3 linked regions of the Diceros bicornis minor genome follow. The protein of the gene in region 2 interacts with the protein of the main gene of each other region in a biochemical or structural test. Links are inferred from orthologs where the notes say so. Each region holds a gene or a part of one and is shown on either strand. Other genes may lie near its edges.

Evidence for each region.
Region 1: of the proteins of MAPK9 (region 2) and ATF2, one has a biochemical effect on the other in vitro, tested with the Homo sapiens proteins (4 studies listed by BioGRID and IntAct, with this or other methods). The link is inferred for Diceros bicornis minor from reciprocal best matches to the Homo sapiens genes MAPK9 and ATF2.
Region 3: the proteins of MAPK9 (region 2) and JUNB form a complex in vitro, tested with the Homo sapiens proteins (2 studies listed by BioGRID). The link is inferred for Diceros bicornis minor from reciprocal best matches to the Homo sapiens genes MAPK9 and JUNB.

Annotation. Positions count from the first base shown.
Region 1 is NC_080749.1:55,977,044-55,980,790, forward strand, and holds the start of ATF2 (cyclic AMP-dependent transcription factor ATF-2), read right to left. Parts: upstream 2,226-3,747; 5' UTR 2,092-2,225; intron 1-2,091. UniProt on the Homo sapiens protein: Transcriptional activator which regulates the transcription of various genes, including those involved in anti-apoptosis, cell growth, and DNA damage response.
Region 2 is NC_080740.1:93,220,548-93,224,294, forward strand, and holds the start of MAPK9 (mitogen-activated protein kinase 9), read right to left. Parts: upstream 2,839-3,747; 5' UTR 2,732-2,838; intron 1-2,731. UniProt on the Homo sapiens protein: Serine/threonine-protein kinase involved in various processes such as cell proliferation, differentiation, migration, transformation and programmed cell death.
Region 3 is NC_080769.1:4,564,210-4,567,500, forward strand, and holds JUNB (transcription factor JunB), read right to left. Parts: upstream 2,491-3,291; 5' UTR 2,193-2,490; coding exon 1,149-2,192; 3' UTR 648-1,148; downstream 1-647. UniProt on the Homo sapiens protein: Transcription factor involved in regulating gene activity following the primary growth factor response. Binds to the DNA sequence 5'-TGA[GC]TCA-3'.

The sequences.
Region 1 (3,747 bases), on a different chromosome or scaffold from region 2:
GTGGAAATAGCATGTATGGGGGACTGTTTACCTGATCTACATTTAATTCACCAGCAGAGAACATATAAATCATTAAAACCCAACTTTTCCAAAATACAAAAATTTAGGCAGAAAAAATGTAGATGATTTCTTGAGAGTTAATGCTAGTTATAGGTAGATGTTTGATGTACAGCATATCATTTTTTTAAATGATATTCATATAGCTTTCAAATCCTGAATAGCAACAAAAAGCATACCTCCAAATTATTTGTTAAAGAGCTGACATGATCATTTCTACTGTTATCTTAGTTTAAAAATATGAAACAAATACTCTAAGTAAAAAAAGTAAATTCAGGAATTTCTGAATTATATATTTAATAGATAATGATAATGCCCCAAATATGAAATACACCTTCTAATAAGGTATTTAAAAAAGAACTTCCAGGAAATGCAATCAGATCCTCACCAGGAATTATCTACCTTAAAAACACACCTACAAAAGTCCCTGAAAGCTCCTGTCCTACTAATTAAAATACAAACCCTACTTTCTAAATTACCACAATATTATACTTCAAATAATTAAAAACCTAATGGTAGTCGCATCCTCTCAAAGCAAGATTAAACATGTCTTAGGCATGCAGCATACACACCACTGTAAATTTGGAAGATTCTTATAAGTCACAAAGACTAGGATTCTTAATTGTTACTCATTTATTGACGGCCTTAAAGATTCACGAACTTCCTTAATTCTCTTTCTTGATCTGCAGAAGGACATCTCTATTTTTTGAGCATACTTTACAACTATGTGCCTGCAGTTTTGAAAAAAGTGTTCAGAGTGGATTCCTCAAATCAGTATAACAAATTTTATTACAAGATATAACTGCTACTGTCTGTGTCCTTCAGGACACTTAACCCTGTAGGGCTATTTAACAAGCTTCTCGCCTTCATAGTTTTGGTACAACAGACCAAGGATAAATAGCTATTTAAAGATTACACCTAGAAACGCTATTACTGACAATGCCGGCGGTTATGAATTTCTTCAAATGGGACAAAAAAGTGTGCTTATTTCAAATATATACATTAAGTTTATGCACTGCTACCGTCTCCATTATTTAAAATTCCTAAGAAACTGTTAACTTTCACATTTTAATTGAGGAATTAGTCAGTAGGCCTAGGGTCCATCAGGAGTACTCCCTTTTACTCCATCACATTCACAGTAGTTTTGATCTTGGCCTCACCAGTTTTAAGACTCCTTAAGCAAAGACAATTTCATACTACCTAAGGGCACAAAAACAGTTCCCATCTCCTCCGCCCTCTCCCTCCTTCTAGCGTCGGTTCCACGAGCGAATATAGATCTCTGTCCCTCTCTCTGCTCTGGTCCCTACAACTAGCTCTGCAGTCCACCCAGGAAGGTAAAAGAATGGGGGAAAATACTAGAATCAATCTGCACCCACACCTCAGCCCCGCCCACGGGGATAAAGCGGGGGTGGCGGGAGTGTGAGGGGGCAGAAAGGACAGAAAAGGCCGAGAGTTCTCCATACCATTTGTTCCATCACGTTTCACCGCAGCCAGAGACCCTGACCCTATTTCCAGCCGCGCCTCCGGATCCTCCTCCCCGCCACCATCACACACACACACAGTCCCCAACGTCTGAGTCCTGGGTGCGGAGACCAGAGCCGGCCCTCTTCCTGCTCAATCCAAGGACTGCAGAGAGGGTCTCCCTGCGCCCTCGGCGCATCGACGTGTGCCCTAGGGACCTCTGAACTGACCGGAGAAGGGGAAGATCAATCGGGAGGAGGGGTCTAAGAGGAGCCGTTATTCCCCTTTCCTCTTCGTTAGGAAAGCGCGCGAGCGGGGAGGGGCCGGAACAACGAACGCGTTACCTAACGGTCCGGCCCGGCCAGTCGGGCTCCTGAAGGCGACGCCGCGCCGGCCGCTGAAGTGCCAGCTCAGCCACAGTCGCCTCGAGGGTTAGGCACCGAAGCAGGCGCGCCCGAGGTGATAGGAAGCGGGGGGTGGGGACTATGGTGAGCGACGTCGCCATGTTAGTGCCTTCTTTCTCTGTATCCCTACGGTCTCCAGTCCTGCGGCGCACTCCCCATGACTACTCACCTCTCTAGGTCACTAGTTCATGCTTCTTTCGGTCACCGGCGAGGCCCGAGCTCAGCCGTGTTTACAAACTACCCGTGGAGGAAAGGCTGAACCGCACTTTAAAGGCCACGGGCTCCCACAGGCTTCCGTCCTCTCTCGCGAGATCGGACTGACACCTCCTTCTCCCCGCCCCACTCCCGGCATCCCCCCTTTCTTCTCGAGTCCCTGCCCTCCACGCACACGCCGCTTCTTGTCTTACTTCAGACGAAGCGCCTCCGGGTCAAGCGAGTCCGTCAGGTTTAAAGGAGGGGGCGGGATTTCAAGGGGGCGGGGCTGAGGGGGCGGGAACCAAAGAACACTCGGTGCTGGTGATTGGACAACAGCTCGAAGGGCGGGAAGCAGTTCTGGAGGGGGCGGGACCAGAGCGCCTTGGTCCTCCGTAACCAAGGACCTGCGGAAGCCTGTGATTGGCAGCCGCTTGAGGCGGGCGCTGGAGCAGGTGGATGTTGAGGTCGCCGGAAGGGCCTGACGGTGTGCGGGAAGGGAAAGTGAACTCTAGGAATGCTGCTAGTGGCGGGAGAGAAAACGGGACGAGTCCTCCGAGTCCCTCCCCGGGAGCTCGGTATTTCCATTGCTGTCACGTCCCGGCCCTTGTAGGAAGCCGGGTAAAGCGTAGGGAGGCGCGCGCCTAAACCCGTCTTCTGGCTACCCTGCAGCCCGAGAAGGGGAGCTTCGGTTAAGCTGAGGTTTGGAAGAGGCGGAGTTTACCGGAAATTATCCCCCAACCCCCGCTACACGCCCAAAGCGGGAAAGCAAGATAAGTCAGTTCTGAAAAGAAAAGAAAAAGCCATTACTCTGAATGGCATTTGTTCGAATTTTTCTAAACTGTAACGGGACTGATTCTTCCGGCTTCTAAACGCCTAGTACCGTGTATGATATTAGCATATAGTTATGTTCTAAGTAACTTACCAAAAGGAAATACAGTGACTTCCACTAGATTACTGTAATTTAAAATAGCGCAAGGCTTGTTTTTAAGAGAAAAATCTTCCATATTATGGTGAATCCTATTTTATCAATTTTCGTTTACTTAGTAGTTATACATTTAAAAATATCAATTTTAGTAGAGATAGTTTCAAACCTTTAAAACATCCACAACTCTGTATTAACATTTTAGAGAGGACCAAAGGACACCAAATTAGACTATGGCATAGAAATGGCACTCTTTCCACAATATAATGCCAATGAAATGTCTGTGAAGCTTTGAAAGTAGCTCTTTGAAAAAAGAAGGAGGGGGGAGTTTATTTGGTTAATTTAACCTGAGGGACAAAAAAGACCATATTTACTACTCTGCAGTTGACATAGAGACACTCCTAAAAACACAGAAAGAAGTACATTGCTGAAAATGTTTCTTCTTAATGTTGCTCTACGATTCTCTATACAACTTAAAGATTTCAGTGTTAAGTGTAGGGATATTGCTTTTTCAATAAATACACACTGGCACAAGTTGAAAAGTATGATCAGGAGCCTCTGTGGAAATTTGCATTAACTATTAAAAAAAAGGCAAGTTGGGCCAGCCCCAGTGGCATAGTAGTTAAGTTCAGCATGCTCCACTTCGGTGGCCCAGGTTCGGTTCCCGGGTGTGGACATTTACGGCTCTGTTAGTGGCCATGCTATGCT
Region 2 (3,747 bases):
TCCTCATAATAAACAGTTAAAATCAAGACTGATGTTGAAACTAGTTCACACAATCACAAAAGGCCAAGTACAAATTTAATTATTTTTAAGGAAAATTAAGTAAAAATGTCACCTTCTTAACCAGGAGTGAAGTATAACTACATATTTAGACCAAAAATAGCTGCCCTACTGCTGAATCAATAGCGTTAAGAAAAAAATGTAGTTTCTGTTTTACTTTATGCACCATAAAAACAATTGCTTTACTCACTATTAATTGCTTCACCTGGCACTTTTCTTTATCCAGAAAACTAAAATTTTATTTTAAATAGACAAACTGAAGTGTACGCCCTAACATTTATTTAGGGGGGGCCATATAAACACATTTTAGTCATCAACAAATTATTTAAAGTCCTGGCATCCTGAAAATTCTCAGGAAAATTTAAAAGCTCTCCAGAGAAGACTATACCAAAATAGGATTATTTTTAACCCTGTAGTATCCTTTTGAAGGGAAAAAAACGGTTAAATGAAAGAAAACATTATCTAGATCAGATGTTGTTCTTCCAGAACAAATTAAAAGCCAAAAGAGAATACTTAGAGCTGAGGGACTAGGAAAGAACGCTAATCTGGGGGAGACCTGGGTTCAAATTTCACCTTCCAGCTGCTGGCTGTGACGCAAACAGCTGAAACTCTGTGAGCCTCCATTTCCTCCTCTGCAGAAATGGGTTTCATAGGTGCTCCTCACAGGGCTCCAGTGACAATTAAAGGAGAGTATCTGGACAAGCAGGGCCTAGCTCCCCTGGCCTCAGGCTACCTTTCCAGCTCACTGCAGCTCTTCCCTCCTACGAACCTGCCCTGGAGGCTGACAATCCTGCAGCCAAACTGAATGAGGTCTGTATTTTGCTCAGCTCGTGGCATTAAATTTTTTTTTTTTTTTTGTGAGGAAGATCAGCCCTGAGCTAACATCTGATGCCAATCCTCCTCCTTTTGCTGAGGAAGAGTGGCCCTGGGCTAACATCTGTGCCCGTCTTCCTCCACTTTATATGGGACGCTGCCACAGCATGGCCTGATAAGCGGTGTGTTGGTGCGCGCCCGGGATCCGAACCTGCGGGGCCGCCCCGGGGCCGCCGCAGCAGAGCGCGCGCACTTAACCCCTGCACCACTGCCGGCCCCTGAAAAAATTTTTAATTAGCTACTGCCAATATTTAAAAATCAGGAGAGTAGAGATACAAATCTAGAATTCTGCATTTTAAAAAACGCTAGGCAAGGTCTGGTTCTCCGGGGTCCCCACCACTCCGGACTGTCTTACACCTGGCCCTGCAGGCCAACTCCCAACCCCACACCAGGCTCAAGTCCCTCCTTCGCCCTGCCCTACCCCTTTCTGTGCCTCTCCCCGCCTGGCACACTTCTCAGCACCACGCAAGGCCCGACTCCAGTACCACCGGTGGCCTCCTCATTTCCAGGGCACAGCCCCTCCACCGCAGAGTGGCACTCTGTCCTGGCACCGAAGGTCTGCACGTCTGCCTTCTCCACTGGGCTCTCCTGAGGAAGGGACCCTGTTGTATTGCCTTTGTGTCCTCAGGGTCAAGCAGAAAGCCTGACCCAGATAATGCAATGTCTCTTGAACGTGCGAAGTTAGAGCGACAACGCTACAGAAATGTAAGTTTATATCACAGCTTGTTCTGACAGTTACCAAATAAAGGGGTCAAGGACATTCAAATGTTTCACAAAACGAGAACCAGCTTCCATCCGCTTACAAGTTTCACTCGTCACTCATGAGTCACTACACGGACAGATAGAGCAGAGGCCGCAGGCAGGCAGAGTGGCTGCTTCACTCAGTGAACAGGTATTACTGAGTACTTACTGTGGGCTTTCTAAGCACTGGGGATAAAGCAGTGGACTAATTAGACAACTACCTGTTTTCATAAGGCTACATCCTAGTGGGGGAGACAAAATAAACAGACCCATAAATAGAGTCGTTTCACACCTGAGTGAATGCTTGGAGGAAAGTTAACCAACATGAGACAGAAGGACTACGAGAAGAAAGAGGGTGGTCACGGAAGGCCTCAGAGAGAAGGAGCCGTCTGACCGGAGGAAGGACCAGCAGGAGCCCCAGCTGTGCAAAGATCCGGGCGACGACTCCAAGCATTGGAAACAGTCAGTGCAAAGGTCCTGAGGTAAACGGGGCCACAGGTTCAAGGCGGGGGAGAAGACGGGTGGCAGAGGAGTGCGGTGCTCCGGGTGGGGGAGTGGTGGGGAGGTGGGCACGCCGGCTCTGGCGTCGCTGGGCACCGAGTGGGCAATGACGAGGCCCCGGAGAAGCGCGGGTGGGGGCTCCTGCCACACTAGCACCCGCAGGGGCTGGCTCCCGCCCAGCGCTTTCACACACCTTCCCCGAGCCTGACAACAACCCTGTCCGCAAGCCTGTCCGGGGGAGACCGGGGCGCCGTGAGGGTCGGCGCCCGGCCGGGCCCTGAGCATCCCGGCGGGGCTGCGGCTGCGCCCCACGGCGGGGGCGGCGCCCATGGACCCGCGGCCGTCTGCCCGCCGGGCCGGCGAGCGCGCAGCCCCGGGCCGCTGTCAGCGGCGGGCGGGGGCCCGCGGCGGCCGAGCTCAGGGGCGACGCCAGCGCCCGCGGCCCCCAGCCCCCCGCCCCCGCCGCGCCGCCCTCCCGCCGCCCCTCCCTGAGCGGCCCCTCCCCGAGCGGCCCCCGCCGGGCCTAGCCGCCCGCCCGCCCGCCCGCCCGCCGGCTCACCTCGCCTCTCCACCGCCGTGCCGGGGAGAGGGCGGGCGGGCGGACTGGCGGCGCTGCGCTGGCCGCTCGCGGCTCCGCGGCCCCGGCTCCGCCGCCCCGCCCGCCACCGCCGCCGTCGCCGTGGGTGTGAGGGGCGCCGAGCGCTTCGACCCTTCCGGTCCGCTCGCGTCGCCGCCGCCGCCGCCGCCGCGGTGCCCGCCTGACCGACCCGCGCGCCGGCCAATCAGTGCGCGGAGAGCCGAGCGGTCGCGGCCAATGGCGGCGGGGGGCGGGCCGGGCCGGGGGCGGGGCCGCGGCCTCGGCTGGCCGGCGCCCTGTGGCCGCAGGCGGGGTGCGCGCCGCTGTGTCCGTCGAGCCCGCGGGGCCCGCGGTGCCGCGGCCTGACAGCGAGCCGGCGGAGAGGGGGCCGGCGGGACCGAGGAGCCGGGCCTCTGGCTACACGTGCAGTGGCAGCGGCGATGCGGCCTGGACGGGACGGAGCCGGTCGGTGTGGGGACAGCCCGGGCGACGGCGCGGGGTGGTTCCCGGGAGGAGGAGGCGCGGCCGCGAGCGACTGGGGAGGGGAGGCGGGGGCCTCGGACGCCGCCGCTCCCTGGAAAGGGTTCTTAGGGGTGCCGCCAGCAATCTGAACGGAGCGGGTGCAAGGAGATGGCCATGTGCAGACAAGTGTCCCCGGCCGGTCAGTGACAGAGGAGGCCTAGACAGGCGGGTGCGCTTGGGGCAGGGTTCAAGCCTCTGCCTGAGAGGAGAGGGGCAGGCTCATAAGTAGGGGAGGGGAGTGCAGTGATGAGGGCCCCTAGGGGCTGGAGTTCGCTGACCCCGACCTCCGTTTGAGTCATCTCCCACAGCCCTCCGGCCCAGCTGGGTTCCAGCGGGCCTGGGAACGTATGAAATGATGGCAGAGGCCAGGGTATTGGGTATTCCGGATTCGCTTATTGGATAAGCAAAGCTGGAAGTGAGGCAAGGAGGCTGGACACAGGGGGGAAAAGCCCAGAGGGCCACGGATGGGGTGGGGG
Region 3 (3,291 bases), on a different chromosome or scaffold from region 2:
GCACCGCGGCGGCAACGGCGCGCAGGCAGCAGCAACCCCCCGCCCGGGTCCGGGCAGACGGGGCGGGCGTGGGCGCGGCGGGGCCCGGGCGCCAGACCGATGCGGGAGGCTCCGGGGTGGCTCCCGGGGCGCAGGAGCGCGGCCCGCCCACCGCGCACGCTCTGGACCCAGGCCTGGGGCTTTCCGGGTCCCGGCAGCCGCCTGCCTGGGAAAATCCCGGCCCCCTTCCCGGCTCCGCGGCCCTGCCGGGCAGAGCGGGGGAGGGGATTCCCGGAATCTGCCCGGAGACCGCCGGCGCGTCACTGGGCAGAATCGGCCCAAATATGGGCAGCGCTTCCGCTGCGTCAGCGGGGAAAGCCCCGGCGCGCGGCTGGGCGGGGCCGCACCTGCGCACTGCGCGCCTCGCCCGGGGCACTCTGCCCCCTGGTGCTGGGCGGCTGGACCGCGTCCCCGCCCTGGACCTTCCAACCCCAGAGATCAGCGGACGCGAGTAGGGTTGGACGCTCGAGCTGGAGCTGCAAGATGCCTGGGCAGAGCTGGCGAGGGGAACCCGGATACAGGAGCGAGCCACAAACAGCAGTGGGGTGGGGGCAGCCCAGTACTCTCCTCCCTCCGCCCGCCCGGCTTGGAAAAAAAGACAACAGAAATTAATAAAGAACCATTTTTTTTTTTTACTTAAATAGATTCAATAAAAAGTGGGAACGACAAACTCACGCACACACACACAAACACATATTAAAATAAACTCTGTAGAGTCCAAGGGTGTGTTTCTTCTCCACAGTACGATGCAGAGGGGGGAGGGCAGGGGGCGGGGGTCCCCTCCCCAGTGTTCCCGCGGGCTTGAGTACCGGGCGGCGGGGCCAGCTCCGCCGCGATCGCCCCCTCCTCCCCTCCCTGTTAAATACACAAATATATTATATTCAATATGACTTAGTCTGTTTCCAGCAGAAAAAAACATACAAAAAAATGTGGAAGAGGGGCTTGTAAACGTCGAGGTGGAAGGACTGAGCGCAGAGCGTGCGGGCAGGAGTCCAGTGTGGTGTGCGGCGTCCCCAGGCTCCGGGTCCGGTGCCCACCGCCTGCCCCCTCGCCCCGTGGGAGGCGTGCGCCCAGCCGTCCAGGCTGGGGGAATGTCTGTACGGGGGCGCTCAGAAGGCGTGTCCCTTGACCCCAAGAAGCAGCTGGCAGCCGTTGCTGACATGGGTCATGACCTTCTGTTTGAGCTGGGCCACCTGCTCCCGGAGGAGGCCGGCAGTGCTCGACAGACCCGCGTTCTCGGCCTTGAGTGTCTTCACCTTGTCCTCCAGGCGCGCGATGCGCTCCAGCTTCCGCTTCCGGCACTTGGTGGCCGCCAGCCGGTTCCGCAGCCGCTTGCGCTCCACTTTGATGCGCTCCTGGTCTTCCATGTTGATGGGGGACACCGGCGGCGTGGCGTCGCGGCTGCGCGCCTCAGGCACGGTCTGCGGTTCCTCCTTGAAGGTGGAGGCGCCGCGGCCCAGGCCCAGCTGCGCCGGGTGGCCGCCGGCGAAGGGCGGCGCGTGTGGGAGGTAGCTGATGGTGGCCGTCGGGTACGAGCTCCCGGTCCCGACGGCGGCCCCGGCGCCTCCGGAGGGCGCTGAGGCTGGCGAATAGCTGCTGAGGTTGGTGTAGACGGGAGGCGGCTCTGGGCCGGCGTAGACACCCCCGGGCCCGGCCGGGGGCCCCCCGCTGGTGCCCAGGGACACGTTGGGGGGCGTCACGTGGTTCATCTTGTGCAGGTCGTCCAGGGCTTTGACAAAGCCGTCGGCGAAACCTTCCTGCTCCTCGGTGACGCCGCCTCCCGCGCCCCCCGCACCTCCACCGCTGCCACCCCCGCGGGGGTAAAAGTACTGTCCCGGGGGCGTGGGCGTCGTCGTGATCACGCCGTTGCTGTTGGGGACGATCAGGCGCTCCAGCTCCGATGAGGCGAGCTTGAGTGACGCGCCTGTGTCCGAGCCCTGGCTGGGAAAGTAGCTGCTGCCACCGCTGCCCTCTGGGCCGGGGCCCCGCGCCCCGGGAGCTTTGAGACCTCGGTAGGGGTCGGCCAGGTTGAGCGCCAGGCTGGGTTTCAGGAGTTTGTAGTCGTGTAGAGAGAGGCCGCCCGGGGCCCGGCCGTATCCCGCCGCTGCGTATGAGTCGTCGTGGTAGAAGGGCTGTTCCATTTTAGTGCACATCCGGGCGGCCCGGGCGGTCTGGCGGGGTCCCTGCGGGGCCGCCCCGGGCCTCGCTGCAGCGAGCGGCTCGCTGTCCGCGGCGGTGGCTGGACTGGGCGTCTGGACGCGCGTTCCTAGGGGCTGGAACAGGCCGGGAGACGCCAGCCGGCGGCTGTGCGCGGAAGCTCTGTGCGGCTTCTCGAGCTCCTCTGCCCCTCTCTGGCGCGCCCGCTTTCTTGGTGTCGCTTCCCCCTGCTCCCCGCTCCCCGCTGGCTCCGACGCTGGCCTGGCCGCGCTCAAGGTCCCAGCCGCTCAGTCGGAGTCACACGCCTTTATACCGCGATAGTCAGCTGCGGAAGTGCGCCCCGATTGGCCGTTGCTGGAGCCGGGCCCCCGCGCCCCCCCCCTTGAGCGTGGGGAAGGGGAGGAGGCGGCTCGCGTCACTGTCAGGAAGCGCGTGTCCTTGTAAACAGCGGCCACGGGCTGGGTGGCTCGGCGCGGCTGCAGGGGGAGGGGCTCAGGGGACCCCAGGGTGCGCGAGGAAGGGGCTGCTAGGGCAGTCGGGGAGGGGCTCCAGGAAGGGCATGATCCCCCTGAAGTACGCGATAAGGGATACGAGGAACTGATACAGAGCAAGTGTGTGCGCGCGGGGGGGGGGGGGGTCCCAATCCCAGGATGTCCATGGAGAGGCCTGAGGGACCCAGAGTATCCGAAAGGGGTTGGAGGACTGAGAATACACCGGAGACCCCACAAAGAAGAGACGGGAGGGTTAAGTAGAGTAGATGGGGGAGGGGTAAAAATACGCCTGACTCAGGAATGACGGGGGTCCTGGGTACAGAGAGGTTGGGGGACTGGAATTTTCACGAGAGGGGCTGAACCCAGGAAAAATGAGGAGGGGGAGAGATCAAAAGGGTAGACGGGGAGGAGCCGGAGGACCCATCATGCAAAAAACGAGTAGGGGTCCTGGAGTCCATGGGAGAGACTGAGGGGCCCCCACAAGTGGGAAGGGGAAGGAATTGGGGGTATCTAGATATGCAGAAAGTGAGGGTTCTGGGGTACAGTGAGTAAGGGAAAATATGTGGGGTAGAAGATGGAGACTGTCAGAGATTGGGGGTCACTG